7 linked regions of the Oryctolagus cuniculus genome follow. The protein of the gene in region 3 purifies or fractionates together with the protein of the main gene of each other region. This does not show direct contact. Links are inferred from orthologs where the notes say so. Each region holds a gene or a part of one and is shown on either strand. Other genes may lie near its edges. The genes, in order: FOXO3, RUNX3, SMAD3, TRIM33, SMURF1, HIF1A and RNF111.

Evidence for each region.
Region 1: the proteins of SMAD3 (region 3) and FOXO3 purify together in Homo sapiens (affinity purification with western blotting; 3 studies listed by BioGRID and IntAct, with this or other methods). This does not show direct contact. The link is inferred for Oryctolagus cuniculus from reciprocal best matches to the Homo sapiens genes SMAD3 and FOXO3.
Region 2: the proteins of SMAD3 (region 3) and RUNX3 purify together in Homo sapiens (affinity purification with western blotting; 3 studies listed by BioGRID). This does not show direct contact. The link is inferred for Oryctolagus cuniculus from reciprocal best matches to the Homo sapiens genes SMAD3 and RUNX3.
Region 4: the proteins of SMAD3 (region 3) and TRIM33 purify together in Homo sapiens (affinity purification with western blotting; 7 studies listed by BioGRID and IntAct, with this or other methods). This does not show direct contact. The link is inferred for Oryctolagus cuniculus from reciprocal best matches to the Homo sapiens genes SMAD3 and TRIM33.
Region 5: the proteins of SMAD3 (region 3) and SMURF1 purify together in Homo sapiens (affinity purification with western blotting; 3 studies listed by BioGRID). This does not show direct contact. The link is inferred for Oryctolagus cuniculus from reciprocal best matches to the Homo sapiens genes SMAD3 and SMURF1.
Region 6: the proteins of SMAD3 (region 3) and HIF1A purify together in Homo sapiens (affinity purification with western blotting; 4 studies listed by BioGRID and IntAct, with this or other methods). This does not show direct contact. The link is inferred for Oryctolagus cuniculus from reciprocal best matches to the Homo sapiens genes SMAD3 and HIF1A.
Region 7: the proteins of SMAD3 (region 3) and RNF111 purify together in Homo sapiens (affinity purification with western blotting; 5 studies listed by BioGRID). This does not show direct contact. The link is inferred for Oryctolagus cuniculus from reciprocal best matches to the Homo sapiens genes SMAD3 and RNF111.

The regions. Positions count from the first base shown.
Region 1 is NC_091436.1:62,844,032-62,848,266, forward strand, and holds the start of FOXO3 (forkhead box protein O3), read right to left. Parts: upstream 2,821-4,235; 5' UTR 2,607-2,820; intron 1,570-2,606; 5' UTR 1,466-1,569; coding exon 839-1,465; intron 1-838. UniProt on the Homo sapiens protein: Transcriptional activator that recognizes and binds to the DNA sequence 5'-[AG]TAAA[TC]A-3' and regulates different processes, such as apoptosis and autophagy.
Region 2 is NC_091438.1:146,263,832-146,267,945, reverse strand, and holds the start of RUNX3 (runt-related transcription factor 3), read right to left. Parts: upstream 2,818-4,114; 5' UTR 2,104-2,817; coding exon 2,046-2,103; intron 1-2,045. UniProt on the Homo sapiens protein: Forms the heterodimeric complex core-binding factor (CBF) with CBFB.
Region 3 is NC_091443.1:89,967,341-89,970,556, forward strand, and holds part of SMAD3 (mothers against decapentaplegic homolog 3), read left to right. Parts: intron 1-1,726; coding exon 1,727-1,850; 3' UTR 1,851-3,216. UniProt on the Homo sapiens protein: Receptor-regulated SMAD (R-SMAD) that is an intracellular signal transducer and transcriptional modulator activated by TGF-beta (transforming growth factor) and activin type 1 receptor kinases.
Region 4 is NC_091438.1:55,852,145-55,856,304, reverse strand, and holds the start of TRIM33 (E3 ubiquitin-protein ligase TRIM33), read right to left. Parts: upstream 2,838-4,160; 5' UTR 2,723-2,837; coding exon 2,197-2,722; intron 1-2,196. UniProt on the Homo sapiens protein: Acts as an E3 ubiquitin-protein ligase. Promotes SMAD4 ubiquitination, nuclear exclusion and degradation via the ubiquitin proteasome pathway. According to PubMed:16751102, does not promote a decrease in the level of endogenous SMAD4.
Region 5 is NC_091450.1:41,405,060-41,409,201, forward strand, and holds the start of SMURF1 (E3 ubiquitin-protein ligase SMURF1), read right to left. Parts: upstream 2,816-4,142; 5' UTR 2,483-2,815; coding exon 2,428-2,482; intron 1,771-2,427; exon of another isoform or gene 1,491-1,770; coding exon of another isoform or gene 1,463-1,490; intron 1,438-1,462; exon of another isoform or gene 1-1,437. UniProt on the Homo sapiens protein: E3 ubiquitin-protein ligase that acts as a negative regulator of BMP signaling pathway. Mediates ubiquitination and degradation of SMAD1 and SMAD5, 2 receptor-regulated SMADs specific for the BMP pathway.
Region 6 is NC_091451.1:8,816,845-8,820,984, forward strand, and holds the start of HIF1A (hypoxia-inducible factor 1-alpha), read right to left. Parts: upstream 2,806-4,140; 5' UTR 2,707-2,805; coding exon 2,672-2,706; intron 1-2,671.
Region 7 is NC_091443.1:81,933,425-81,937,013, reverse strand, and holds part of RNF111 (E3 ubiquitin-protein ligase Arkadia), read right to left. Parts: intron 2,474-3,589; coding exon 2,154-2,473; intron 1-2,153. UniProt on the Homo sapiens protein: E3 ubiquitin-protein ligase. Required for mesoderm patterning during embryonic development. Acts as an enhancer of the transcriptional responses of the SMAD2/SMAD3 effectors, which are activated downstream of BMP.

The sequences.
Region 1 (4,235 bases), on a different chromosome or scaffold from region 3:
GCAGAGGAGTTAATCTCTTCGGATGCCTAACTGCAGGAAGTCATTACATCATAGGCCTTTCCACACCTCTCCTTACCACGTGTCCGGTGCCCCGAGAGGCAGAAAAGGAGCAGTAGGAAGCCTCTCTTCAGGTTCGGTTATAGGTAGAAGCCATTATGGCCCAGCCCTGCCACCAAACCCTCCTCCCGCCCCACAGCTTAGGTGAATCGCAGGCACCTGGAGCTCGGGGCCTGCGCGGGAGCCGCAGGTGCGGGGGCCCCCCACCCCACCCCGCGCTGAGGCGGCAATGCGGACCGTTCCAGGCCCCACGACATTTCAGAGGGGACATCGCCCACGGACAACGCGAGCCGACCAGGCAAAGGTCTGCAATCACTACTTCTTCTAATGGGATCGATGCGTCCGTGGGAGTTAACACCTCCAAGCCTGGGGTTCGCAGGCAACTAGTGACAAATACACCGCGCGTTCCCACACACATGCAACCACGCATCCCCGCGCCAAGTCGCAAACGTTCCCCTGCGCCCCTACACCCCACTACGGCGAACTCCACGCCGAAGCCGGCCGCGCACCTACCTTCTCCGTGTCGTCCCTGGAATCCAGCAAGCGCACTCCCCGTCTGACCCTCCTCCGCCAACCGCCCCGCGACTCCCGCCCCCGCCCCAACCCCGCCGGGACCGAGGCTTCCCCGGGAGCCTCCTGCGTCCCCTCTGCGGCAGAGCGCGGGTTCCCCTCCGCCGGAGGCGGCGGTCTGAGAAAACTCCCAGGGCCTCAGTACAGCGGCTCCCCGGGGCCAAGCCCTCAGCCCGGCGGATCCCGCCGCCAGCCCCGGGTGGGTACGCACCTTCCAACCGGCGGAGCTGTTGCTGTCGCCCTTATCCTTGAAGTAGGGCACACAGCGCACCATCCACTCATAGATCTGGGACAGAGTGAGCCGCTTGTCCGGGGAGCTCTGGATGGCATGAGTGATCAGATCGGCGTAGGACAGGTTCCCCCAGGCGTTCCGGCGCGAGGAGCATTTCCTCGGCTGCCCTGAGCCCCCAGCCGCCCCCGGCTGCAGCGGTGGCAGCGGCTGCTGAGGCTGCAGCGGAGTCTGCGTCCCCCCGCTCAGCGCGCCCGCCGCGGGCGCTGGCCCGGGCCCGAGGTCCTGCCCTCCGGCAGCCAGCAGGCGGGCCGAATCCTCCAGGAGCAGCCCGGAGCCCAGCGCGCCGCTCCCGCCGCCGCCGCCGCCGCCGATCGCCATGGCCGAGCCAGCCCGGCCGCCGCCGTCCTCGTCGTCTTCATCGTCGTCCTCCTCGGGGATCATGGAGTCGGCGGCCGTCTCCCCCGAGGGCTTGGCCGGGCTCGCCTGGAGCTCCGGCCTCTGCAGGGGCCAAGTGCAGGAACGCGGTCGGCTCTGGGGCTCGAACTCCGGGTCCAGCTCCACTTCGAGCGGAGAGAGCGGGGCCGGGGAGGCCGGCGCCTCTGCCATCTTCGGCGCCCGCCCGCCCGCCCGCGGCTCGGGCTCTCGCGCTCTCCTCTCGCGCCGGGGCGGGGTGCGGCGGGGGAGGGCCGGGGCGCCGCCGCCGCCGCCGCCTGAGGAAGCACGAGAGGAGACAGAGGGGGAGTTGGTTATCCCGGGCGGGAGCCCGCCGCCGCCGCCGCACCCGCCACCCGGGAACAGGCAGACCTGGAGACGTGCGTCCCGCGAACCTGGCGCAGCAGACGCCGCCCCCTGGCCAGGCCGCTGGGGAGACGCGAGCGAATGGCCGGCCGCGCACGGGGCAGCCCCCTCCCCCGCCGCCGCCCGATCTGCGGGTCTCTCCCGGGCTAGGTGGCGGGGCGGGGGAGGGGCGGGGGCCGGGCCGGGGGAGGGGCGCGCCGCGCCTTTAAAGCGGGCCGCGGCCGGAGCTGGCGCAGCCGAGCCGCGGTCGGAGCCGGAGCGGGCGTGCGTTTGTTTATGTTTCGCTCCGGCCCCGCTCAAGTGCCTCCCGCGGCGGCGGCGCCGCCAAAGTCTGTGGCGTCTTCCGCGCTCCGCTCCCGTTCCCCTGCCCTGCCGCCTCCGCGACTCCCTGCCGCCGCCCGCCCGGCCCCGTGGCCCGAGCCCCTACTCCCTTCTTCGCCCTGGGGCCGGGAGGGCGACTGGGGGAGCCGGGGTCTGGGCGCAGGCGGGCCTTGCCACTTCCAAGATAGGGGGTAAAAAAAAAAAAAAAACGGAAAGAAGGGGGACAGGCAACACCCGCGGGTGCTCTCCGGGGGTCCAGCCAGGCGGGAACGGCCACTTCGGGGTTCGGGTGGTTTATTCTCCCGGGGGACGCCGTGCCCTCCGCCCGCTGCCCGGGTCGGGGACGCAGGGAGGGGGCGAGGCGCAGCGTAAATCTTCCAACAGGTCGGGAAGCGCCAAGTCTCCCGGGCGGCCAGAAAGCTCGGGCCAGCGCGTTCATCACCTCCTTGCTCCCGCTGCTGCCATCTTGACAGTTTCCCCCCTTCCCTCAAGTCCTTTAAAAAACACTAGCGGGAGCGAAGGGGGGCGCGCACACCGAGGGGAAAACGGGAAGCGCCTGGCCCCGCTCGGAAGCAGATCCGGAGTCACCGGGAAGGCGGCCGCCCCGCTGCACAGCTCCGGCGCCTACCTCGGTTCCTTCCCTTCAGGGACGAGGCGGGAGGACGCACAATCCCGCGCGGGCCCGGGGCACGGCGAGGAGGGGGCGCGCCACCCGGGCGAAGGAGAGGCGCTCGGGCCGCCGCCGCAGCCCGCCCGAGGAACCGCCTGTCAGCCTGCGCGCCGCAGCCGCCGCCGCCGCCTTCCACATTCCTCCTCCTCCCTTCCACGAGCAGGGCGGCCGCGGCAGCAGCACAAAGTTATAGACACACGCAGGGAGCCTCAACCTAGGCTGACGGCGGGCGGGCGGACGGGTCCCCGCCCAGGGGGAGGGCCGGGGCGGGGGCCGCGGGCGCTCCGGCGTGTGCGCGCGCGCGCGCGCGTGTGTGGGGGTGTGTGTGAGAGGGATCGCGCGCGCCTGCGCGTGGGCGCCGGGGCGTGCGCGCGCGTGCTCCGCGGGCCGGGGAGCCGAGGGCTTCCGCCGCTGGCCCTGCCGGGCGCCGCGACAACAAAGCGCGGCGTTGGCTCGCCTGAGGCGGGAGAGGGGAAGGCGCGCGGAGCCACGGACGCCCCGCAGAACCGGGCGAAGTCCCGGCCACCGTGGGGAGTGGGGTGGCGGGGTCCCTGGCCTGCGCGCGCGTCCTCCCGCCGGGCTCTGGTGTCGGATCCCGCAGCGTTAGAACCGGACGCCAGGTAACATCCGAGAGAAGGTGCTGACCGCGGAGGGCCGGGGTCGCCTCGGCGTGGACGTTGCTGTCTGCGACACTTTGATAGATGCGTCCGATTCGATCAGGCTCCCAGGGTTTGCCCTGGGTCCCCCCCCGTGTGGACGCTGAACTACAATCGTCTCCCTTTTTCGTGGATTTCATAGCAGACGGGGGGGGGGGGTGCTTTAACTGAGGAAGAAAATCAAATTATCCCCCGGTTCTCGACGAAAGAGAAGCCTCCGAACAACCGAGAAGGGGGAGCAATTTTATTCTGATTTCACGGCAAAACTTCCAGTTGCGCACTTCTGACGTCTATTTTGGCTTTAGGCGTAACAGAATACCTCCACAAGTCCTCATCCCGTGATGCCTGCCCCAAATCGCTCGTTTATGCCCTAAGAATGCACAACACGCCACATGCACGCCAAACGCCTGTCCGCTTCGGTTCACAAATAGCTTGCTGGGAAAATTGCAGTCGCCGGAGCGCCCGCGTTTCGCTGTGTGGCTGCGGCCTCCGCCACACCAGCCGGTGCACGGGAACGTCCAGCCCGGGTTCCGCCGGAGTCCGCCCACCCCGCCGGCTCCGGGCTCCGGGCTTTGCGCAGCGCCCGTCACTCAAGTGACGCGCGGCCCCGCCCCTGCGCCAAGCTAGTTCGACGCGTACAAACAGATGATGTCATCGTCTCCACACGCGCGTGACCCCGGAGCGCTGCGCCGCGTCGCCATTCGCTGCGCCGCTGACTCGTCAAGGCACGCCGCGCGCTGAGTGGCCGCGGGGGCCAGTCTCCAGGCCCCCCGACGCCCCTCTCGGCTCGCCATCCGTCCTGCCCCCGCCCCCGGCAAATAATAAACAATCGAGTAAAAATTCTAAGAAGTGCGGAGATAAAGAGAGGGTGGCCCCCCGAAGCCACTGCTGCGCACGACGCAATGGCAGCGTTAAAGAGGGAAGGGGGCAC
Region 2 (4,114 bases), on a different chromosome or scaffold from region 3:
AAGCAGCTCCTATGAAGGGACACATGGCCACCGGATCATAGAAGCGCTTTCTTTCCGAGTTTGATAATGGCATTCCCACAGATGTGCTTTTCTTTATAATCCTTTGTGGGTTTTTTTTTTTTTTTTTTTTTTTTGCATTTAAAAATTTGACTCCAAGATGTACAAAGTCTGAAGGCTTTTAGATTCACCTCCCAGCGGGGTGAGGACCCTGGGTGGGCGTGTAGAATTGGGGCCCTGCGGAGTGTACCCTCAGGCTGGACTTCTCTGGGGATAAAACCGGCAGCTGGGACCTGGTGGGATTTGGGAGCAGAACTGGGCAGGAGAGGGCTCAGCGTGGTGGACGGAGCTGTTCCGCGGAAGCACAGGGAACCCTCGGTCCCCAGACCCCAGACCCAGACCCAGACCCAGACCCAGACCCAGACCCAGACCCAGACCTCCCCGCCACCCAGGCTTCTGCACCTGAGGCACCTGCGGGGCAGCGATCAGGCCGCTGTGCGCGCCGTGGGCCAGAGCAGCCGACTGCCCCTCCCTCTCCTTTGGTGCCACCTCCGTGGCCCCGGGAGCCCTTCAGCCCCATCTCCCAGGGTTCCTTTGTTTTAAACCCTGCATTTCTCCATCGTGCTCACGGAGGGAGAAGCGTAGATTACAAAGACGCAGCAAATGGTTTTTATAAACTCTTATTTTCTTGCCACAGAACTGCCTTTAATTAGCTCCGAGGACTACAAAGGGAACACGTATAATAGCAGCAGCTTGAAGGCAGGAGCCCACGGCCCCGGTCCCAGACGGGCCGCCTGTCACCAGCCCCAGCCAGGTTTGGTGGGAGCACCCCCATGTCGGGGACGGCGGCCTCCCGCCCCCACCTCAGTCTCTGCCCGCCCAGACCCCACCGGCCCCTACTCCAGCCCAGCCTCGGCGAAGCCTCTGGACGACAAAGACCCACATGGGCGTCGGGCCCTGCCCAGAGCTGGCCGCCAAGTGCTTCCTCTGAGTCACCCTGGGAGCCGGCAGCAGGGGGACAGATGGACAGAAGTGCAGACGGACAGTCGGGCCGGCTTCCGTGCCCCGTTGACCACCTCGGCGGAGGGAGGACAGCCACTGCTCCCGAGCCCAGGAGTTCTAGAAAGCCTTCAACTCTCATCTGGCAGAGAACTGGTCCCTTTGAGCAACCCAAAAGCCCAGCCCCCGTCTGCAGCCCAGCCTCAGCCTTAGGACCTCACTCAGGGCTCAGAGAGGTTAAGGAATTTGCTATGGTTGCTCAGCAAAGTGGCTACTGTGCTGTGGGACACTCAGCTCAGGGGACGCTCAGGCCCCATCTGGGCTTCTGCTGGGGACGACAGAGGCGGCTTAGGAGGCTGCCTGAGGCCAAGGCCCATCCACCCTGAGGGCCAGACCGGCAGCAAGAGGCCCCTATGAGGTCCAGCCTCAACCAAGTGGAGAATCGGGGACACAGCCCAGACCTCAGGGTCCCTCCAAGCCACGGATGGATGCAAGCACCCCAAGAAACACTCTCTCTCCCCCATGCCTGGGCTCACAAGGCTCCCCAGGCCTGCCCCCCACCCCCGAGGCAAGCCAAGGCGGCACAAATTCTGCCCCGAATCCAGCAGCTCCCCTCCTCCTGCCGCCCCCCCTCACCCGGGGACGCCGCCAGGGAAGGCCGCCGGGGGCCCACGGTGCTGCCCGGCCTCCACCTGCCTCCCACGGCTCTGCCTGAGCCCAGGTGCAGGGGCCACACTCCGGCAGGCTGGGGGCTGGGCTGCGGGGCCCCCAGAGCCCCACGAGAGAAGCAGGAAGCCGGGCTCTCCCTCCACCCTGCACCCTCCAAGAGCTGGCTGGGGGAGCTGCTGCCCGTGGCCCACTGTCCCCACAGGCTGCGGATAGAAGTCCCACTCCGGGAGACCACGGAGGCCACTGGCTCCTCTTCCCCGCAGGCTCCCCGAGGCTTGCAGGGTCAGGTAGCCAGGCCACGTCCTTGGGCCAGGGTCTGGGTGGTGGCCGCGGCTCCCCACCCGCGAGGGCCAGCCGGGGCCCGGGCACGCGTTACTCACCGCGGATGAAGGCCGGCGAGTAGGCGGGGAAGGAGTCGAAGATGCTGTTGGAGGCCATGCCCCGCTCTGCAGCCGCTTCAGGGGCTCGGCTGGGGCCGGGCTGGGCTGGCCTTGTTAGAGTTTTTTTTTCCTGACTACTTTGGAGAATGAAGGGGGGGTGTTGGTTTTGTTGTTTGTTTTGTTGTTTTGTCTCTTTTTTTCCCCCTGCTGCTACGAAAAAGAAAAAAGGAAAGAACGCGAGAGTGTGTGTGAGTGAGCGAGAGAGAGAGAGAGAGAGAGAGAGAGGAGAAGAAAAAAAATCCCCCAGGAAAGCAGAGTTTCTGTTTGTACCCAAGAATCTGGATCCCTGGTCCCACAGGAATGTCTACCCACAAATTCTCAACAGCAGTTGTGTGCAGTGTATCATTAGATGGCGGGAAGGGGCGCTCGGCAGCCAGGGCGGAGGAGGCAGCGAGGCCCCGCACCAGCGCCACGGGGAATGAATGAATGAGGCTTACCCTCGACGGAGCCCAGGCTCCAGCCGGTGCGAGGGCGGCCGGGGGGTGGGGACGACCGGAGCCAACCAGCTCCCGCGCAGGGCCCTGGAGGCGGCCGAGGGCCTGGCCTTGTGGTTCTGTGGTCGAGGGACCAGGCCTTCCCAGTGTCAACCCAAGCCCGGCACACAGGATGCCAGCAGCCAGCTCGCGGCCTTGGCCCATTGGCTGGGGCGCGGTCACCTGGGCCGTGACGTCATGGCCTCTTAGAAGATCTTGTGGCTGCCTTTCTCTGCCTTTTGGAGAGAGAGAGAGGAGACAGAGAGAGAGAGAGGGAGAGAGAGAGGCAGGCAGTGGCTTTTATTTGTGGGACTGGCCTCAGCACGCGGCCCAGAAGCAGAACTGAAAGCGGTTGGAGTGGGGGCGGCCGGGGCGGCGGTTTGGACCCAGTGTGGGAGACTCCTTCTTAATTAAGGCCAGCGTTGGCCTGGGCGGGCCGGGAGCCCCGCCGGCCCCTCACCGGGCGCCGGGAGCCGGGTGCCGCCGCGGGCGCGGGGCTCACACCCTGCCATTGTCCTGCACCGCCTCGGCCAGGCAGAGGCGGCCACATGTGTGGCTCAGTGGCACTTCAGGGGGTTTTATGGGAGCTGGGATTACGTACAAATGGGAAACACATGAGGCGGCACCGCCAGCCCTCGTGCCCGGCAGAAGCCCCGCCTGCGAAGGCGGTGGCGCAGTGGTGCCAGGAGGCCAGGCCTGAGCAGGGCTCTGAGGCCCCGGCTTGTCAGTCCGGCCCACCTGAGCCCACCTGAGCCGCCCCAGGGTCCTTGGCACCACCCCAATGCCCGGGGGTCTCCTCGCCTCCTTGCCCAGTGCCTCCGGCTGAATCTTTCACATCCCAGAATCGTCCCGGCTCACAGCGGCTCAGGAGTAGGAGAGTGGAGGGCGGCTGCTCAGCCGTGCACACTGTGTGCCCGGGGCCAGCTAAGGCTTGGGGCTGGGGGCTGGGGAGGACAGAGAGGGCTTTTTCCGTTTCCCTGGTGAGCTCTACTCTCCCATTTCACAGGCTGAGGCACTGAGGCCCAGGGAGGTGCGGTCGGCTGGGCTAAGGTCACATGGGGCTGGATTGGAACGCCAGCCTCCCACTGGCCAGCCGTGACGTTGCAGCTCACGTCCGAGACTTCGGGAAGTGCCCCCTGCAGCCTGGGCACCACCCCGGCCCCTCCCAGCACCAGCCCTCCACCCTTGGACACACGATGGCCTCTGTAGGCCAAACAGGAGCGGGGGGGTATGGGGAGGAGCAGGGGGCTTGTCCGAGGTCACAGAGCCCCGCTTGTGGCGAACGAATGAGAAGCCCTCCACTGGGGGTGGCTCCTGGTGCTGGGGCGGGGGCAGGGGGTTCTAATTCGGCCGGGGAGGAAGCAGGTTTGTGGTGAAAACCACAGGGCTCTGGAGTCTGATTTGGGCTCCAGCCCCAGCTCCGCTCAATCCGAGCCTCGAGGCCTTGGAGCGAGTCACTTCCCTCCTCCTCGTCTCGGTTTCCTTTCCTGTAAAACAGGGATAACACCTTGGTTGACGGGGCGGGTGCCAGGCGCC
Region 3 (3,216 bases):
CTTGCGGAACACCGTGGCGTGGGTCTGCAGAGCAGAGCCCAGGTGAACAAGAGTGCCCCTGGGCAGCAGGGCCGTGGGCCCCTCCCGCCCCCCTCCCGGCCTGTGCCTGCGGCAGACGCTGCGGTACCCGCACGTCAGCTGGAGCCAGCGCCGTGCGAGTTACTCTCCCCTTCATTTTTCCAGATGTTTGGACTCCCATTTTGTTTTGCAGTCACTCTGCACCCAGGCCAAACCCATTTCAGTGTTGGCGCGGGGCCACCGTTCATAATGAGATCCAGATGAGCGTGACTTATGGAAAGTCGGATTCTCATTAGAGGCTTTCGCCCCGCACGGTCGTCCTCCTCGTGTTTGGGCTGCCGTGCTCGGGGCTGCCCCGCGGGGCTGGGGAGCGCAGTGGCGTGGTCTCCGGGGTCTTGCTGAAACCCAGCACCGGTGATCCGTGGAGCCGGCATGGCGGTCAGACCTCAGAACTGGCGGCCGTCTTCTGACGGCTGCAGAGATTAGCCCAGGCCCAGCGGGCCAGCCGGGAAGCACCCAAACTGACCTTTTAGCCCTGGCACGGACCAGGTAGGGAACAAGAGTGGAAGATTAGCGTTAGTTTTTTTTTTTTTTTTTTTTTTTGGAGAAGACAGGGAAAGGGAAATACTTAAAGGCGGCCCTCCGTGGAGAAGAGCCAGGGGAAGTCCATTTGCTCACTCTTCTCACACCCGGACTGTAGCCCAAGGGGCCACGCATGGTCCCTTCCATCAGGTGGACCCCTGCAGGGCCGTCAGCGGGCAGGGGTGCTTAGGCCAGGCCAGGCAGGCAGTGCCCGGCCCAGTGCGGCGTTGCGGCCGTCCAGCCCTGCGTGCCCCAAGGGGCTCCTCGGCGGCAGACGCCCTCCCCGGCAGGCCGCCGGGCCAGCACACGCCGTGCTCGCAGCCCACCGCGTCACCGCCGCCTGGCAGTGCCGCACGGCAGCCCGACGGGCAGGCGCGGCCCCTTCCCGGAAGAGTCTTGCCGCCCTCCTGCGTCTCGGGCCAAGGGGAGTAGGGTTTCAGCCCTTGTCTGTGCGAGGAGGCCGAGGGCAGGGCCCAGGCCCGCTGCTCTCACCTCCAGCTGGCACGGGCCACCGCGGCCTCAGCAGATAGCCTCGGGGAGCCGGCCTGCGGGCTGCGTCATCCGCCAGCCTGAATTGAGACGGAGTGCTTTGGGGTGCGCCTCGGTTTTTTCCAGTAATTGTTCCATGGCTCGCTCTGCTCGGAAGATTTTCCAAAATAAGGCCGTAGATGGGAATTGTATCAGCACATGGGGAGCGGAAGGCATGTGCGCTGTCGGTGCGTTGCTCGGAACGCCCCTCCGCCAGACAGACACGCATCACCACGGCGGGCCGGGCCGGGCCGGGCCTGTGTCTGGAGCCGCTGGTGCCCACCTGGGACACACAGGAGCTGGCCTGGAGGGCTTCCACTGCGGGGCCTTGGGGGTGCCCTGGCCTTGACTTCACATTTACCTCTTTCGGGCCACCTCCCTCCCCCCATTCCCCGGCTCGGGATCTGCTCAGGGACCTTGGCCCTGCTAGTTTCAGCGGATGGTTGGGACCTCCTCTAGGGCAGCATGGAGCCAGGTTACGGTGTAGCTGGCTTTGGGGGGGAAGACTGTCACAGAGGAGGGTGTTGTGACTTGCCTGTGTTTCCTCCTGGACGTTTTTAAACGTCCCCTACCTGCAACCCTGCCTTGTTTCTTGCAGGAGACAGACAGTGACCAGCACCCCCTGCTGGATCGAGCTGCACCTGAATGGGCCTTTGCAGTGGCTGGACAAGGTCCTCACCCAGATGGGCTCCCCCAGCATCCGCTGTTCCAGTGTGTCCTAGAGGTGTGGGCGGGGAGGGGGAGGGGCTGCGCTGGGGCAGTGACCGTGAGGAGGGCGCGAATATTCGAACTCTGATCCATTGATTATTGTCAAGGAAGAAGGACTTTTTCTCCCTCCGGTGGCACCAGCCTGTTTTCTAAAACAGAGGTGAGCACAGGAGCAGCACTTCCGAAGGGCTGCGTCTGCTGAACGCACCGACTGCCCTTTGGCCCTGCTTCGAGGACGAGGATGGTGTCTGCTCTGGGGGCCTGGAGTGAGTGGGTGGGATTTCACCACCTGCCCCTCCCCTGCCGCTTCCTTCTCTTCATGATAGCAACGTGGGATGTCCCGGCTCAACAGGAGGTGCCCCCTCTGTCTGGGACCGCTGTGTCAAGTTCACCTCCGAAGGATGTTCTAGGTAGGGGGCAAAGCCTGCCTGGCCACGGGCAGACTTCCTGCCTCTTCTCCGGGGCTCCCAGCCAAGCCTCCTGTCCTGCAGGCCCTGTGCCTTGAGAGGCTGGACGGGCAGGGGGCTTGGGCAGCTCCATCCACTCTCAGAGCATACTGATGGCTGTGTGTTCAGCACTGCACACGTGACAGTGGCGAAAGCGCCACCTCCTCTTTCAAAACTCTTAAAATGTGTCCTTTCTCACTTCGAAAAGTTGGAAGGATCTGCTGAGGCCCCGTGCGAACGCAATGTATGGTTTCTATTATCGCATCAGTCTCAAAGAGATTCGAACGACGTCAGGTGTTCACACGCAGCAGGAGGCAGGTGGCGTGTGGGCTGCGGCGGCCCCGGACTGTGTCTCCCGCCTTTAAGAGCGTGCACTGGTTCATGCAGTCCATCGTGTTAATTAAATCAACTTTATTGTATGCTCTTTTAAATGTCTGCTCCGGATTAGGAAAAACACGACACGACACCCTGGGTTGACGCATTACTGGGAGCTAAGAGAGGGCTCCTCCAACAACCGTCCCAAGGTGAAGTGTTTCCCGGCTTCCCAAGGAGGCAGCCGCCAGCGTTTCTGGAAGCTGACACTTCCGGGAGCAAACATGCCGGAAGGGGAACCTCGCAGGCCCACGGGCCGGTGCGAAGGCCGCGCACAGTGGTTCTGCGCCTTTGGAGACTGCAGGCGGCCCTGGTGATGACACTGGCAGCTACGCCGGGTGAGCCCACGAGCACAAACTATTTCAACTGGAAAAAGGGGCCCTCTTCTTTCACGGGCCTTTTGCAGAATACAGCAGACGGAATCGTCACCTGCAATTGGTACTTTCTTCTTTGCTGCTGGTTTTTTTTTTTTTTTTTTTTGGATGAAATGACGTATCTCACCTTTTTTGCATGGACTTATACCAGGAAAAGTAAAGGGATTTCCTATGGAAGTCCTGTCTTA
Region 4 (4,160 bases), on a different chromosome or scaffold from region 3:
CACTTAAGAACAACAGTATTTAGTCCTTTCCACTTACTTCTTCTCCCAGCTCAAAAACAAAGGTGGAGAAATGAAGAGAACGTATGGGACTATATTCTCTCATACATAAATTTCAGAAAGCCAATTTCATAACCTCAGTTCCTCAACCAACACAATTTGCATCTTGAGTTCCCTCTAAATTGCTCACCTAATCCAGGTTCCCACAAGGACACTGAATCCCACGTGTCTTATTATGCTCATGGGACCACGACCAGCTATCCTCTCTACACCTATTACCACTTAGTGTCTCCTCCATTAAACACAGATCTTTTTTCTTAACATTCTTATCTGCATGTCCCAATAACAGCTCAAACCCAGAAGTGAAGGTATTATATCCTCTCTCCACTACAGACACCTGCTTCTGTGCCTGAATTCTTTGCTTGCACTAACAGCACTGTCAGCAAACAAGAAACCTAGAACTCGGTCTACACACCAATCTCAGTTAGCCCCTCCATCTCCATTACTAACAATAAACTAGCAGCCATTTCACTAGTAACTACTGTATATGAGTCACTTTACATATCTTATTTCACTTCATTTTCTCAATAATCCCATGAGCAATATACTTTTTGTCCCTGTTCACAAATGAGAAAACTGAGGTGAAGAAAAGTTAATCTGTCCAAGTTCTAAGTAGAAAGTGGCGAAGAAGACACCTGAACTCATTTTGATGTCTCCCTGACATCAAAATGCTTCCTTCTGTAATGCCTGGCATCAGACCTCTCCTACCCAATCCAAATGACAATTTCCAATCTAGGTTGCTGCCAAGGTTCCCCTAACTGGCCTCCCTGCATTCTTTCATCTCTCAACGACTTCAGGTGATCTTTGTAGATCACAAATCTGACTTTACCCTTTGGATAGAGAAGTCCTTTGGGAACGCCTTGTACAGGAGACACTGCACAGGACACATCCCAACCCCTCAGTACTGTGCCAAATTTGCATACCTGCTTAGAAACTTCACTTCTGTCACATGTTTACAACAAAGTCCACCACGTTATTGTGATATTCGTGTGATTCAATGAAGAAACTTTCAAGTGCTCAATAATGAACTGTTATTCCAGAATCCCACCACTGCTGGAGTACTACATAAAAGACATAGTACATAAAAGACCTTACCAAGAAAAATTCCCAAATACTGTATTCTGAAGTCCAAAACACATCTTGTCCCAAGAGTTGCTGGAAAAGGATGTGGAACTCCTTATCCACGCAGCTGATCAATGCAATCTACTGTCCACCAGAGGTCTTGCACAAGGTGGACGCACCTTGTACCCTCGATCCCCTCCACCCAGTGAGGCAGGCAATCACCCTTCAGGAAACCTGCTCCAGGCCTTCCTTTCCTGGGAAGTTTCCCTGACTTTCCCTCCATTTCGCCACAGCCATGATAGTGAGCGCCCACCTCCACTGCTGCAGGCTACAGTTTCCCCTGTTAAGACTGGGAAGGGGGTCCTAAGCCAGCATCACATCCAGTCCCAGCAGCACCCAGAACGCTAGGGGTTCCTTAATGTACAATGAACTGAAACAAATGCATGCCCAGCTCTATCTGACCCTCAATCTCAGTCCAAGTTCATTTCTGCTCATCCCCAAACCTTACTCTTGTCCCTAACCATGCAGGTCCCTCACTGCTATTCTCATCTCCTGAGATGCTCCTTCCCAATGCCATCTTAAAATTCTTTTCCATCAAGAGCCTTCTCTTGGCTCCAAGTTTCCCAACGTCTTTTAGCCGCTTGCATTTAAACCGCAGTCCTCTTTGCTCCAAACCGGGCAACGGGCCACGTCCCCTCCCTCCAGTGCAATCCATCCTCACAGCCCTCCTCTCTTTACCTACTCCACCACCACCACCACCTCTCCCGGGCCGGGCGCCCGTCCACCCTGAACGCTGGCTCTGCTGTCCGGGTCCAGCTTGCACATCCCAAACCTCCTTCGCTGTGTCCCCTCCCCCCAACCCCGTCTCACAGCCGGCTCCCTCCCTTCATCCCCCTCCTTATCTCTCGCGGTCCAGCTTCTCTGGAAACTGTCCCAGGGGCCGTGTCTTTCACTTCGCCCACCCCTCAGGATCGCGCAGGTCCGGGCAGCCCCGAGCCCCAGCACTTCGGTCCCCAGATCCTCCTGGGCTCCGCAAATGCCCCGCGGCCCAGACGTCGGGCCGGGCCTCCGGCTCACCTTGCTGGATGTCGCCGTTGCTGCCCCCCGGGATGGGCACGCTGAGCTGGCGCTCCGGCTCCGGCAGGCAGCGCAGGCAGAAGGAGTGAAGACAGGGCAGCAGCTTGGGCTCCGCCTCACGCCGGCTCTGCAGGCTCTGCTGACACACGGCGCAGGTGTCCAGAAGCGAGGCTGGCGGTCCAAGAGGCGGCCCCGCCGAGGGACCCGGAGCAGGGGCTGAGGCTGGAGCTGGGGCCGGCGTCGATACGGTCCCCCCGGGAGCTCCAGAGCCCACTGAGGCTGCAGGAGCCGAGGCAGCCTGAGCCGAGCCCGAGGAGGCCGCGGCCACCCCCCCGTCGTCGGGCCCGGCCGCGCCGCCCTCCGCGCCGGCCCTGCTGCCTTCCTCCTCCTCCTCCTCCACCAGCACCGCGGCGAGAGGCGGCTCCGCCTCCTGCGCCGCGGGCCCGGCGGCCCCGGCAGTTACCGGCGCGCTGCCGCTGCCCCCGCCGCCGCTCTCAGCCTCGCCGCCGCCTTTGTTTTCCGCCATGTTTTCCTCTTTGAACCCGCCGGACCGCCCCGCGCCGCCCGCCGCCCGCGTCGCCGCCGCCGCCGCCCCCAGCCCCAGCCGCAGCGAGAACGGCCGCCGAGAGCGAGCAGGCGAGCGAACCAACGAGAGCGCGCGCGCACGCGGCGCCCCCGCCCTCGCGTCGCGCGGCTGAAGAGGGCGGGCGCGGCGCGCGCACGTACGCACGGACGTCCTCTGGAGGGAGGCGGGAACTCGGGGCGCGGGCGCGGGCGCGGAGTCGTCCGCGACGCTCGTCCAGACGTCTGGGGCTGGGGCGTTGCGTCAGTGCCGCGGACCTTTAGCGCAACAGGCGCTAGCCTTTAAAAGCCAGAGGCCGTGGCAACCTGTCGGCCTTTGGCGGATCGTGCTGCTGAGTTTGGCCTCAGCTGTGGTGCGGAACGAGGGGCGGACTAAGCTGGACGGGTCGGAGGCCGCGGCTGTGGCTGCCCCAGCGAGCGTCTCCTCCGAAGCTTCTGCAGCGTGATCGGACGCCAGGGCCTCGCGGTTCTTGGTGCTGTGCGAGGCACCTTCTGCTGTTTGTGGCTCAGGGGAGCAGTAAGCCGAGTCTTTGGTTTTTTTAACCGGAGGTCTACCAGAAATAGGCTGAAAAGACCCGGTGAGGAAGAGACTCACTGTGCGGCTAATTTCCACTACTTAGTGTGATTCCGGGACGTTGCTACGTAGCCGAAAACCGGTCACCTCAGGAGCTTTTTGAAAAGCCACACCTCAGCCCAGAGTCCGGAAGTGGGGCAGAGGGCTGATTCTGATGCGCCTCAGGTTGCGGAGCCAAGATCTCACCTCCAGTGTGGTGGCCTCTGAGAGTCCCACTTAGTGTCCTGGGTGAGCCCGGTGACAAATGCCCTCCAGGTAGAAGCTTTCAGAAAGGGTTGGCCTTTTATTTGGGAAACAAGTGTTTCTGCAGAGCAGTGGCTGTTTGGGCGTGAGACGCTTGCACTTCTTTGGTCTTTATCTCTTGAGCTGGTCTAAGTCCCTAAACCATGTGCAAGCCTTGTTTATTTACTCACTCCAGAAGACTCGCCTCTATTAGGTGTCAGTGTTTTAGATACCCTGCGATTACAGCAGAGAGCAAAAGAGGCTCTCCCTGCCTTTAAAAGAGTTCACGAGCTAATGGTGCAAGGTTTGGAATAAACGAGGGTACTTCAGAAAGCTCTTGAGAAATGTGTATTATGAGAAAACCATGTGTGGATTGGAAATTTTTTGCACTAAACTGTCGCAGTTTCATTTTCCATGAACTTAAATTTTAAGTACCCTGATAACATGCGAGGTAAATGCCAGGAAGAAAAAGCAACTGGAGCAAAATAGAGATTGAGGGAGGCCTGTTGATAAGATGAAGGAGTCTCTCTTGCAGAACAGTGTTCAAAGTAGAGGAACAAATAGTGCAAAGGGCATGAGGCAAACG
Region 5 (4,142 bases), on a different chromosome or scaffold from region 3:
TCCACCCCAACTCCCTGCTCATTCATCCTGGGAGGCAGCCGGGCCCCTGCTGGGGAGGCGGCTCCAGGCTTCAGCCTAGCCCATCCCGAGCTGTTGCAGGCACTCGGGAAAGTGCATCAGCGCCATCTCTCCCTCTCTCACTCCCTTCCTCTCCACTTTTCAAGGGGGATGAAAACAAACATTTTTATTTCCATTTTTAAAAAGGACATTCTTCTGTCTAGACCAGATTTCCAGAGCAGTTCAGCATATTACCCACAAGTGTTTTTTGTTGTTAAAAAAAAGTCCCACAGGAAAAAACACTCATAAACAATACATAATATGAATGGGAGGCATAAATCAGACTCAAGTGCCATGCTGGAACACGGATTTCTGAATACCAGGATTGCGAACAGAAAGGATACATGCCCAACCACGACGTGAAATCAGTAGACAGACTGACAGAGCCTGTGAAAAGGAGATGAAGGACGTCCCAATGGCCGGAGCCTCGCGGGCCCAGGGAGGTGAAAGTGTTCCCTGTCTCCAACCACACATTCCCCCGCTCGGAGTCCAAGGCTCTAGTCACCACCAGATACGGCTGTGGGCCCAACCGTTCCAAATGCTCCCTTCTAGTTCCAGCGTCTTCCTTGTCTTTCCAATGAATTGCACTCTGTGTGGCACTCGCAGACTGGTTAGAATACCCTCCATTGTGAAAAGTCATTATGTTCAAATATCAAACACGGAAATGAGATCTTTGAAACCCATAACTTAATTACTCAACTCTTTGAAAGATCATTGTTATCCACAAATGCCATTAGCAAGATTTCAAATTCCCCTGAAAACCATAAAGACCAGACCAAAATCTATTCCATCTTCAACTAAACACCAAGTTCCAGCATTTCCACCCAAGGTAAGGCTAGGAAGATGACCAGCACCACTACACCCTTCTGCTGCGAGGGAGACCACACTCAAACCGCTGGACACCCGGTGTTCCCGAGAGCCCCCACCCACCAACGCCGCCCCGGAGCACGTCTGTACGTGGCACGCCTCGTTCCTGAGCCCAGCCACAGCCTGGGAGGAGAAACCAGGGTCCCGGCCCGGCCGGATTCACACACGCGCACCTGACACACCTGCCTCTGAAACACCATCTCCACCCAACTCCCCAAATCAATCCCTCTGCTGTTTAACAGAACGAACCACTGCGATGCCAATGGCAGATCACGTTGCAGACCAGAACCAAGCGGGAGTGGCCAGGGACTGCGACTGTCTGCCACCACCGAGGTGGCAAGGTGCGCGCTGCCTCCACGCGGGACAGGTGCTCCCTCTCGCCCCCCGCGCCGGCGGGTGCACCTGCTTGTCCACAGAGCCAGGGTCAGCGTTGGGCCTAACCGTTCCCTGATCTTACGCCGCTGTGCGAATGTTTCTAAACTCAAACCAGAAAGAGGGCTAGTGCCAACCACTCTGAACTTTTCAAAGTAAAACTGACTTTTGAGGGGGGAAGAAAAATCACCCATTGTCGTTTTCGCGGATTTGACCGACGACAGCTGGGCCTCAAAAGCGGGCGTTCCGACCCCTGAGCCCCGACCCGGGGGTCCTCGCACAGAGACCCGCGGGCCCACGCCGGCGGGGACCCCACTCCGCAGGGCCGGGGTCCGGGAAGCCCCGCAGGGTGCGGACAGACGCCGGGGGCCGGCGACGGAGGGAGGCGTCCACGCCCCCGCGCCCCCCGAGCCGCCGCCGCCGGGCGAGGACACAGCGGGAGGAACGGCGGAGCCCGCGCCGCGGCCGGGTGGGCGCGCGGGCAGCGGGGGTCAAGTGCAATGCAGCGGAACCGGGGCGGGGGGGGGGGACCTAGGCGGGCGCAGGCCGCGGCCCGGGCAGACGGCCGCCGTCGCAGGACCTGGCGGGAAGTGAGAAAGAACCGGGGGACCCGGCTGAGGACCCGAGGCTCCAGGAAGAAAAGGGTGGAGGCCGGGAGACCCCAGCGAGGGGGCGGGGCCAGCACAAAATGCGGGGCGGGGGGCGGGACCGGGGGAGAAGGCAGGCGGTGGGGGGGTGAGGAAGGGGCTGGGATCCAGGGGGAGGGGGAGGAGGGGAGAGAAGGTGGAGGAGGGGGCGAGAAACGGGCGCTGGGGGCCAGGGGACAGGGACAGAAAGGCCGGGCTGCGGCCGGGCCGGGGGTGGGCGGCGAGGGGACAGGTGGGGGCAGACGCCGGGGGCGCCGAGCCCGGCGGGCGCGGGGCCCGGGGAGTCGGGGGGCGCGCGGAGGGGGCGGGGCCGGGCCGCGGCGAGGGGGCGGGGCCGGCCGGGAGCGGCGAGGGGCGCACGCCGGGGGGGCGGGGGGAGACGAGGTCCTGGGACAACGGCCGGCGTGGGGGAGGGCGCCCCCGAGGGGGCTCCGGGGGCCCGAGGGGGCGCCCGCGGCGCGGGTGGGCCTCCCGCCCGCCCTACCTGTCAGACGGATCTTGATGCTGGAGCCGCTTCTGCGCGTCCCGGGGTTCGACATCTCCCGCCGACGATCGGGCAGCCGCGGATCCAGCGCCGCCGCCGCCCCCCGACCCGGCCCGGCCCGGCCCCGCCGCCGCCGCCGCCTCAAGGTTACGGCTCCGGGCTGGGCGCCGGGGTCCGAGCCGGGACACAAACTCCGCGGCCCAGGCGTCCGGGCGGCGGAGCCCAGGGGATCGGCGCTCGCCCCGGCGCCCGGACCCTCGTGGCTCCCACCGAGCCCAGTCCTGAGTCGCCGCCGCCGCCGCCTCCACCACCTCGGAGCCGGACGCCTGCCGCCCTCGCCGCTTCCGCCGCCGCCGCCGCCTCCCGGAGCCGCGCGCGCGCCCGCCGCCGTGCGGGCCCGGCCCTGCGCGCGCCCGCCGCCGTGCGCCCCCGCGCCTGTGTGCGTGCGCGCGCCCGCGGTACGTCGGGGGCGGGGCACGCCGCCGCCGCCAGCCCGCTCGCTCCTCGGGCGCGCGCCGGGCCTGCAGCCCGTGGGCCGGGGGCTTCTCGCTTCTTCCTGCTCCCGCGGCGCCCGAGGGGATCTGCGGATGCGGACGCTGAGGTGGGGAGAAGGGGCGTCCCCGGGTGTCGCGCTCCGGGCTCCGTCCTCCTGACGAGCTGTTGAGAGCCGCGGGCTGGCGACCCGGTTTGTTGGGAGAGGCCGGGGGAGAGACTTGGCGCGGAGGCGGCGTCTGCGCCCCGTGGCCCCATCGCGGAGTGGCCGGCGCCGCGCGTGGGGACAGGAGAGGGGTGGACTGTGCCCACGGTCTGCCCAGACACCGCAGCGGCCCCGGGGCCGCCTTCTCCCCTTGCTTCCCGAGTGGCCGATTCCACTAAGGAATCCTTAGCCTGTTCTCCGGCCGTTACCGCGTCCGGGGGGAGGACACACGATTTTGTCCCGAGGAAAAGCAGGCTTTGTTTTTTTTTCTCTCCTGTTTTTGACCCGCCTCCTGTGCACGAATTTGCCACCAGGCCTGGATCGCGTCCGGGTGCCCAGCAGCGCGGGCCCTGGGCCTTTGCTGAGGTCGCGCCCCTCGGGGAGGCCGGGAGCACCTGCACGCGCCTGCCTGGCTGGCTGGCTCGCTCCCGGGCTGGACGCAAGGGCTCCGGGCTCGGCACCTGCCCTGGACCGTGCCTGTGGCCCCGCGCAGCCGAGACTGTGAGTGATCCTGGTGACAAGTGCAGGAATCCAAGCTGTGTCCAAAGCAGGGGACCAGGACCCAGCCATGTTCCCGTTCGCAGACACCTTTTAGGGTCTCCAGGGATCCCCACTCTAATGTCCGGCGGGTCAGCGTGCCCCCAACCCCACTCCTGTCCATTGATGGTTTCCTCAACACGCCCATCGGGTGGTCTCTGGAAACCACTTCTCACTAACAAGTGGCTGCGCTTGTCACTTAACCGCTTACACGCACCTGCCGAGAGCACCTTGGGCCACCTACTGTGTGCCTGGGAACAAGACACAAAAGAAATCCATCACGTTTCAGCATCCCAGAGGCTCAGTTCCCTGGGCGATCCAGATCAGCTGATGAGGAGCTGGTGATAGGCGTGTGTGCAGAAGGCTAAGACACACATGATAGAACCGTCCTGCTGGAGGAGAGAGCTAGGGGGCCATCTCAGAAGGGAGAAGACCTTGACCTAGGGTGTAACGAAAGGCAGTGTGCAAGTTCACTGGGCAA
Region 6 (4,140 bases), on a different chromosome or scaffold from region 3:
CATTTTTTGGAGATACAGAAAAGATGCATGAAGACAGAAGAGAAACTGAAAGAAATATTTGGAAGAACTTACAAAAAGCATTTTAAGGGTGGTGGAAGTTCAAACTTAAAGCTTAAACAGGTAACATTTACTAGGAAGTACACAAACTGTTACCAAGACTCCCCCATTCCCGACCCTGGGCTAAGTGTTCTACATGCATGATCTCATTTCCCATACATATTAACTGTTAAGATGGCTGCTTCTTATCATCAAAAGGAAAAGTTAGGCATGGACGCATTCAGGACTTGCCCAATTCACAAGTGGAAAGGCTGGCACTCTAACTCAGAGATTCAGGCCTCCAGCTTCTACACTCTTCATCTCTAGCCCTGCTGCTGTTATAAACAAGTCAAACTGCAACAACAAAAGTTTACTAATAAATGACTCTTAGTGGCCAAGGTTAAAAAAGAAAATTTAGAAATGTTTATTCTCAGAGATTTCACTACAATGCTCCAGTAATTATTTGTTTTGGAAAACTCTGAAGGAACCTGACCTGAAGCCTAAAAACAGAACCTCCTGCCATTCCTTTTGAATCTAAAAACCCCTATTATCCTTGTGCTCTCAGTAAGTCCAGCACCTACAACTAAGGAATCAACATGAAACTCCCTGTTAAATCTATTACAACCACACCACTCTGCTCTGATTTCTTTCAATTCTGATTTTCAGCTGCCTTGTCCTCCTCTAAAACTGGGAAAATTCCAAGAAGAAAATCTCCACCTCAATCTGTTACCTTTCAAAAACTTGAAGAAATATTAGTCAGGAAAGGGCATTTTTAATTAACATCATCCAAAAGTTGCTGAGTAATCACTATTTACTGTTTAACTTAAAATTTCAGTTATATTAAGAATCTCCATATTAAGTGTTACGACTACATTCGATCCCAGGTGGTTAAGTTTTCAAATGAGAAAATTTTGAAAATAACAATGGGAATGGGGAAAACCAAAGAATTCATTTAGCGCTGGGGCTGGTGCGCAGTAGTTGCTAATTTATTCACTCACTTATTTTACAGTGGCTTCTGGTATTAACTGAAGAATAGCAAAGAAGAAATCAGTAAAGTATTACATATAAAAAGGAAGTGACTGGTACACAACCTAATGCATTGTGGTAACTATGATTCAGTATATAATAAGGACGGAAAATTGGCACTACACAGAGGTAATCTGCCTTTGGTTTACAATATAGCAGCCTCTTCATTTCATCAAAAACACTGTAATCACTTCTGCAAAATTAATTGCAATTAATTCCTGGTTAACTCTTGAAATTAAATCTAGACTTGTGTGCTCATGTTTTAAATTGTGTAAGTGCTCTCTCCCCGGTGTATATAAACTGAGAATTTTACATTCTATTGAATAGGGACCAAGATAAAGAATCTACAAAACAGCAAGGATATAAACAAGTTTATCTTCCGCTCATACTGATTAGAGAAGTTAATCTCTCCCATAAGAGTGGAAGGACTTAACAGTAAAGCCAGCCTACGTTACTACTCCTACTATATAAATCCTCAATTCCTTAAAATAATTTCCTCAACGGTGAAAATACCAAAGTGGAGAAAATAGGGAGGGGGGTACTGTAAATACCACGGGTTCCACCATTCTTAATCTTTCTATAATGTACCCCTCTTACACTTCACGCTGTTCAATAAACTTGCTTTAAGTCCCAACACAATCTGGATATGTGCTGATGGTTTCCTTCAAATATATTAAAATATCAGGAAAACGAGACAGTTCTGAAAAAAAAAAAATCCTCCAACACTTTAGTGTTGCATTTCGTTTGCTCCGGTCATCTACTTCGCTTTTCAACCTCACTGACACTGTCTGCCTAAATCGAAGCCGCCCGTTACATTTTCACCAAGATATTTTCGGGAATGAATGAGGCACGGATTCCTGCTCATCGTCTGGGCTCCCTGGATCCCAAGTCTCCACTTCCCAAGTTCCCGCTACAGCCTGGCGATGTGCCCCCCAATTCCCGTTACTCCGACTCCCAAGTCTGGGCAAGTTTTTCCAGCCGATTAAAACAACAAAACGAAAAACAAAACCTGCACGTGCAAACTAAAAAGTTAGCATCCGAAGGCCGCCGCGGCCAATCCCCCCACCACGGCACAAAGGCAGCGACACCCGCCGCGGCGGGACCGCCGCAAGGGCCAGCCCAGCCGCGGCCGCCGGGGCCCCGCACCCGCCGGCGAGCCGCGGCCAGCGTGCGGGGCGCCCGGCCCGCGCCTTCCCCGCCACCGGGAGGGAGCGGAAGCTCCGGGTGCGAGCGGCGGCGCCGAGCTGCGGGCTCGGCTTCCAGGCTGGGGCGAAGTCCCCTCCGGACGGGGCCGCGCCGCAAGGCTGGGGCTCCGCGGCGGGCGCGGGGGGCGGCGCGAGGACCCCCGCAGCCCCGGCTGGGGGCGGCGGCGGCGGCGGCGTGCAGACCCCCGGCCCCCTGGAAGCACTTTCGAGGCGTCTCCCACCCCCCACGACAAGATGGCGACGTGGACAGCGGGGGAGCCCGGCCGGCGAGGTTGGGGGAAAGAGAGGGGAGGGGAGAGGAGGCAGAAACAACAAAAAAAAAGGCCGGGCGACCCCCGCCCGCCCAGCGACCCACCCCGGGAGCGCCGCGGCCCGGCGGGCGGGCGGGCGGGGAAGGGGCTTACTTTTTCTTGTCGTTCGCGCCGCCGGCGCCCTCCATGGCGATTCGGTCTCCGCGATGCCTTCCCGGCCGGCGGCCCCCAGGCTCGCTCCGGCCTAAGCGCCGGCTCCCTGCACACGCGGAGAGAGCAGAGCAAGTCCGGGTGGGGGCGGCGGCGGGGGAGGGGTGCGAGGCGGGAAGCTCCTCGCAGAGCAGAGCGGGGCGGCGAGCGCGGAGTCCGGCGCGAGCCTCCGCGCAGGCTGCTTGTCACGGCCCGGCCCGACGCGCTGGGCCCACTCGGCAGCGAGGACGGTCCTCGCGTCCCCTCAGACGAGGCGGCTCTGCGCTCGGCGGAGCTGAGGCAGCGGGCAGGGGGCGGGCAAGGGCGGAGGCGCGCCCGGCCGCGCGGGGAGGGGAGGGGCGGGGCGGGAGCGCGCGCCCCCGCCCCTCGCCTGCCCGCCGAGCCCAGCGCGCGCGCGCGCGCCCCCGCAGGCCCGCCTCACCTGAGGGGGAGGCGGGCTGCTCGGGAGCCAATGGCGAGCGACGCAGGCGGCCAGTGCCCACCCCAGCCCACGTCGCTCTCAGCCAATCCGGAGGCGCTCAGCTGAGGCACAGCTGGGACGCGCCGCGGCGCTCACGTGCCCGTCTGTGTGCGGCCGGGGCGGAGAGAAAGGCGTTGGGGGGTGCGTCTGCGCCGGGACTAGGGGGCACCCAGCGCCTGCCGCTGGGGACGGCGGCGGCGGGCTTGCGGGAGGCGCTGCTGAGGGGAGTTGGCGGCTGCCCGGGCCCGAGGTTGCATCACGTTTTCCCGCTCCCGCGCTCCCCTCAGGCGGCGTAGCCGAGTTCCCTGTGGGAAAGCGCAGCCCTGGCGGCTTGGGCGCGAGCCCCCCGGGTCTCCCCGCTCGGACGCGTTGCGGCGCGGCCTTCCTGCCAGGCTGCCCGCGCTCTGCCGCACGGCACGGGGGACCCCGCGGGGCCCCTGAGGCGTTCTGTCGCGAACTTGTTTAAGTTAATGCCAGGGAAAACCTCACAGACCCGTTGTTGCACGCCTCTCTCCGAGGAAGGAAGGTGTGAAGTTACTGTAGAAACGGCTTTCAGAAGCGAGAATATATAAACCTGCATTTCAGGGAGGGTCGGAAAAATGGCTTTAGGCACACTTTTCTTTGTGCTTTCTTAGCGCTTTTGCAAGACGATCTTGCGTGGATTCAGAAGAGTCTCCTTGAGTTGCGTTCGCGGTGTAGACCGAGTCCGGAACCCAGGCTGCCTCCGGGGCATGGGCCAGAGCCCGCCGGGTTGGAAGGAACCGGGCACGACGGTGCTGGCTAGCACTGCCTGTTTGCTGACAGGACTGCGAGTTACGGAACAAAACTTAAGCACTTTTTTGTCTTTAGAACCATACATTTCAAGCCTCTCAAGTCTTTAAAAAAAAAAAAAACATATTTTGAGCTCCACAAAGAGCCACTGCGTATCCCTCCCCGGTGGACATCAGGGTAT
Region 7 (3,589 bases), about 8.0 Mb from region 3:
ACAGAATCCGGCACCCCAACCGAGACTAGAACCCGGGATGCCGGCGCCACAGGCGGAGGATTAGCCTAGTGAGCCGCGGCACCGGCCAGACATCTATTTGAATCTCAAACTGTTATCTTCAAAATCTTACTCTAGAGGCAGGTGCTGTGGCACAGTGCGTTAAAGCCCCAGCCTGAAGGGCTGGCATCCCATGTGGGCACCAGTTCGAGTCGCAGCTGCTCCATTTCCGATCCAACTCTCTTCTGGGAAAGCAGAAGATGGCCCAAGTCCCTGGGCCCCTGCACCCATGTAGGAAACCTGGAAGAAACTCCTGGCTTCTGCCTTTGGATCAGCTTAGCTCTGGCCGTCGCAAACATTTGGGGAGCGAACCAGTGGATGGAAGACTGACCTCTTTCTCTCTCTAGCTCAACCTTTCTAACTCTTTCAAATAAATAAAATAAATCTTCAAAAAAAAAATCTCACTTTATATTCATCTTCATGCCCATTACCAATACTGAATGCCTAGGATCTCACTGTTCTCAAATTTTGTTTAAAGTCCAAATGCCTCTAATTATAGATGGGGAAATGGTTATATTCATTTTACAACAAACAGAGCTTATATAAGGGGAGCCAGTGCTATGGCACAGCAGATTAAACCACCACCTGCAATGATGGCATCCCATATGAGTGTCAGTTTGAGTCCTGGCTGCTCCACTCCCTGTTAAAGCACCTAGGAAAGCAGCAGAAGATGGCTTGGGCCTCTGCCACCCATGTGGGAGGCCAGGATGAGTTCCAGGCTTTGGTTTGCAACCATTTGGGGAGTAAACCAATGGATAGAAGAAAGATCTCTTTCTGTCCCTCTAACTCTGCCTTTCAGATAAATTAAAAAAAAAAAAAAAAAAAAAACTTTAAGAGATTTTATCTATAATTAATGATTTGGGTTGAAAAAATATATGTTCAACTGATCTCTTAAAACCTGCTGCATTATTTTATTAATACAACAGAATATCCTATGAGTCACAGGCCAAGCTTTTGGAAGCTCTTTAATGAATGTAGGAGGAGCTAGGAGACCTACTTCTCCACCGTTTTCCTACTATCTTTACAAAGTCCCCTTTCACTATAAATATGGAGTAAAAGGATGTATTACATTTAAGCAGAGCCTTTCATTCAGTTCATGTAAGTTTTCTTTGATGTTAATTCATTTCCAAGAGGTAGAAAAAATACAGATAATACCTAAAGGTATTCCCAGAACCAAAATAACATCTAAAATCTTTTTAACCATATTTTCTACTAAATCCTTTCAAATTTGCTCTTGATAATAGCAAACTTTGCATTTAAGGAAACACCCCTCTTTCTTATTTTCAATTTGTCTGATCCAGAAGAGATAACCGCCAAAATGTTAAAAGATAAAACAAGAACTTCAGGAAAGGTCAGGTGATACAGAAGAGCACATGTTCTGAATTTTCATTCTGACTTTTTTCCAGGATTCTTTTCTAGTACATATGTCAAAGTTACAATTTGTCCCTGAAATTACATCTTTTGATTTTGAAGGTATATAACACTCAGGCTTATATCATGATTATAAACAGAACAACATATCAAAAAGTTACTCAGCATGATCATGATTGCTAATTTAATATTATTGGCATCTTATTACTCACCAATATCAACTAACTTATTTATTTATAATTTTTTTGCTGACATTTCAATTCTCCATAAATTGAAAACCTTATCTGCTCCTGAAAAGCTATGCCTCAGTTTTGCATCCATGAAGGTCGCATATTTCTAGATAAGTGGAAGTTATAGTGAACTCCAAGTAGGAGTTAGAAGGGAAAAACTGATAATTTTTCAGTTTCTCTGAATTAGACTAACACCGTAGATTCAACATTTTGTTTAAAATAACATCCCAAAGATCAGAATCACCTATAATCCTATAATATTAACCGAAAACACCAAGATTCATTCCAGAATAAAAAAGTCACTTTTAGATTAGGTGGCATCCCTGATTTTCCAAATTTCTGAATTCATCAATGAACTGCAATAATTTAGACCATCTGAAAATCTTGAAGACTTAATAAAATTTATCACTGGCAACCCACCCTGGTTCCCATAAGTTATCACAATTAAAGGAGAAGGGGAGAGAAGAATAACTGACTCTCCTCAAATTCCCATACCTGGTCATGGTAGCTGGTACCAGAGCTACTATTTGTTCCACAAGGTGCTTGTACTTGTGGAGGTCTTTCCACAGGGCAAGTAGGATCAGCAAAAGAAGGAGAAACTGGAACAGCTGGGTGGGGAGTATGATGGTGGTGGTGGTGATGTTGAAAATGATGACCATGCTGCTGAAAGCAACTTGTGTGTGGATGTCCTAATGCATGGTGATTCTGTGATGATCCTCCACATGGTGAGTGTTGAGGACAGCAGGAAGGTAATCTCGGCATAGCAGGAGGGCCAGTTTCCGTTACAGAACTAGAAGCAGTTCTCCTTGAGTCATCTTGAAACAGGAAAAAAAAAAAAAAAGGCAAATAATTAGATCATCAAAGATCTCTATAAAACTGTCAGTAAATAAACAGAGAATTAAGAAATGTTTAGGGTCCAGTGCTGTGGCATAGTGCATAAAGCCACTGCCTGCAGTGCCAGCATCCCATATGGGTGCCGGTTCAAGTCCCAGCTGCTCCATTTCCGATCCAGCTCTCTGCTATGCCCTGGGAAAGCAGTAGAAGATGGCACAAGTCCTTAGGCCCCTGCACCCTCATGGGAAACCCGGAAGAAGCTTTTGGCCCTGGCTTTGGATCAGCGCAGCTCCAGCTATTGTGACTAATTGGGGAGTACACCAGCGGATGGAAGACCTCTCTCTCTCTCTCTGTAACTCTGACTTTCATATAAATAAATAAATCTTAAAAAAAAAAAAAAAAAAAAGAAATGTTTAATAAAATCAAGTCTGTGTAAATAAGAATGTGATACTAACAGCACATTCTTAACCTATACATAATTTTGAGTAGTTGTATTTACTGGGATTTTCCTCAAAGTCTAAATTTTTCAAAAGGCTCATATTTACCAGAATGTGTAATGGTGATTATCTTTCCCATCACAAATTATTAGGTACCAACAAAAATTGATTTTAAAAATTGCAAAATATCACAAGATCTTCCATTATGGTTTTTTTTAAATTTATTTATATGACAGAGTTAGTGAGAGAGACAGAGAAAAAGGTCTTCTTCCATTTGTTCACTCCCTAAATGGACGCTACGGCTGGCACGCCACGCCGATCCGAAGCCAGGAGCCAGGTGCTGCTTCCTGGTCTCCTATGCGGGTGCAGGGGCCCAAGCATTTGGGCCATCCTCCACTCTCTCCCGGGCCACAGCACCGGCCCTGTCCTTTGTCAATTTTTAAATTGAGTTGTTTGTGCAAACTGAAGAATACCTTTCTTGCTAACACAGCTAAAATTTTAACCTTAAAAACAATAATACTGGAGCCAGCGTTGTGGCACAGCGAGTTAAAGCCCTGGCCTGAAGCACTGGCATCCCATATGGGCGCCGGTTATAGTCCTGGCTGCTCCTCTTCCAATCCAGCTCTCTGCTATGGCCTGGGAAAGCAGTGGAGGATGGCC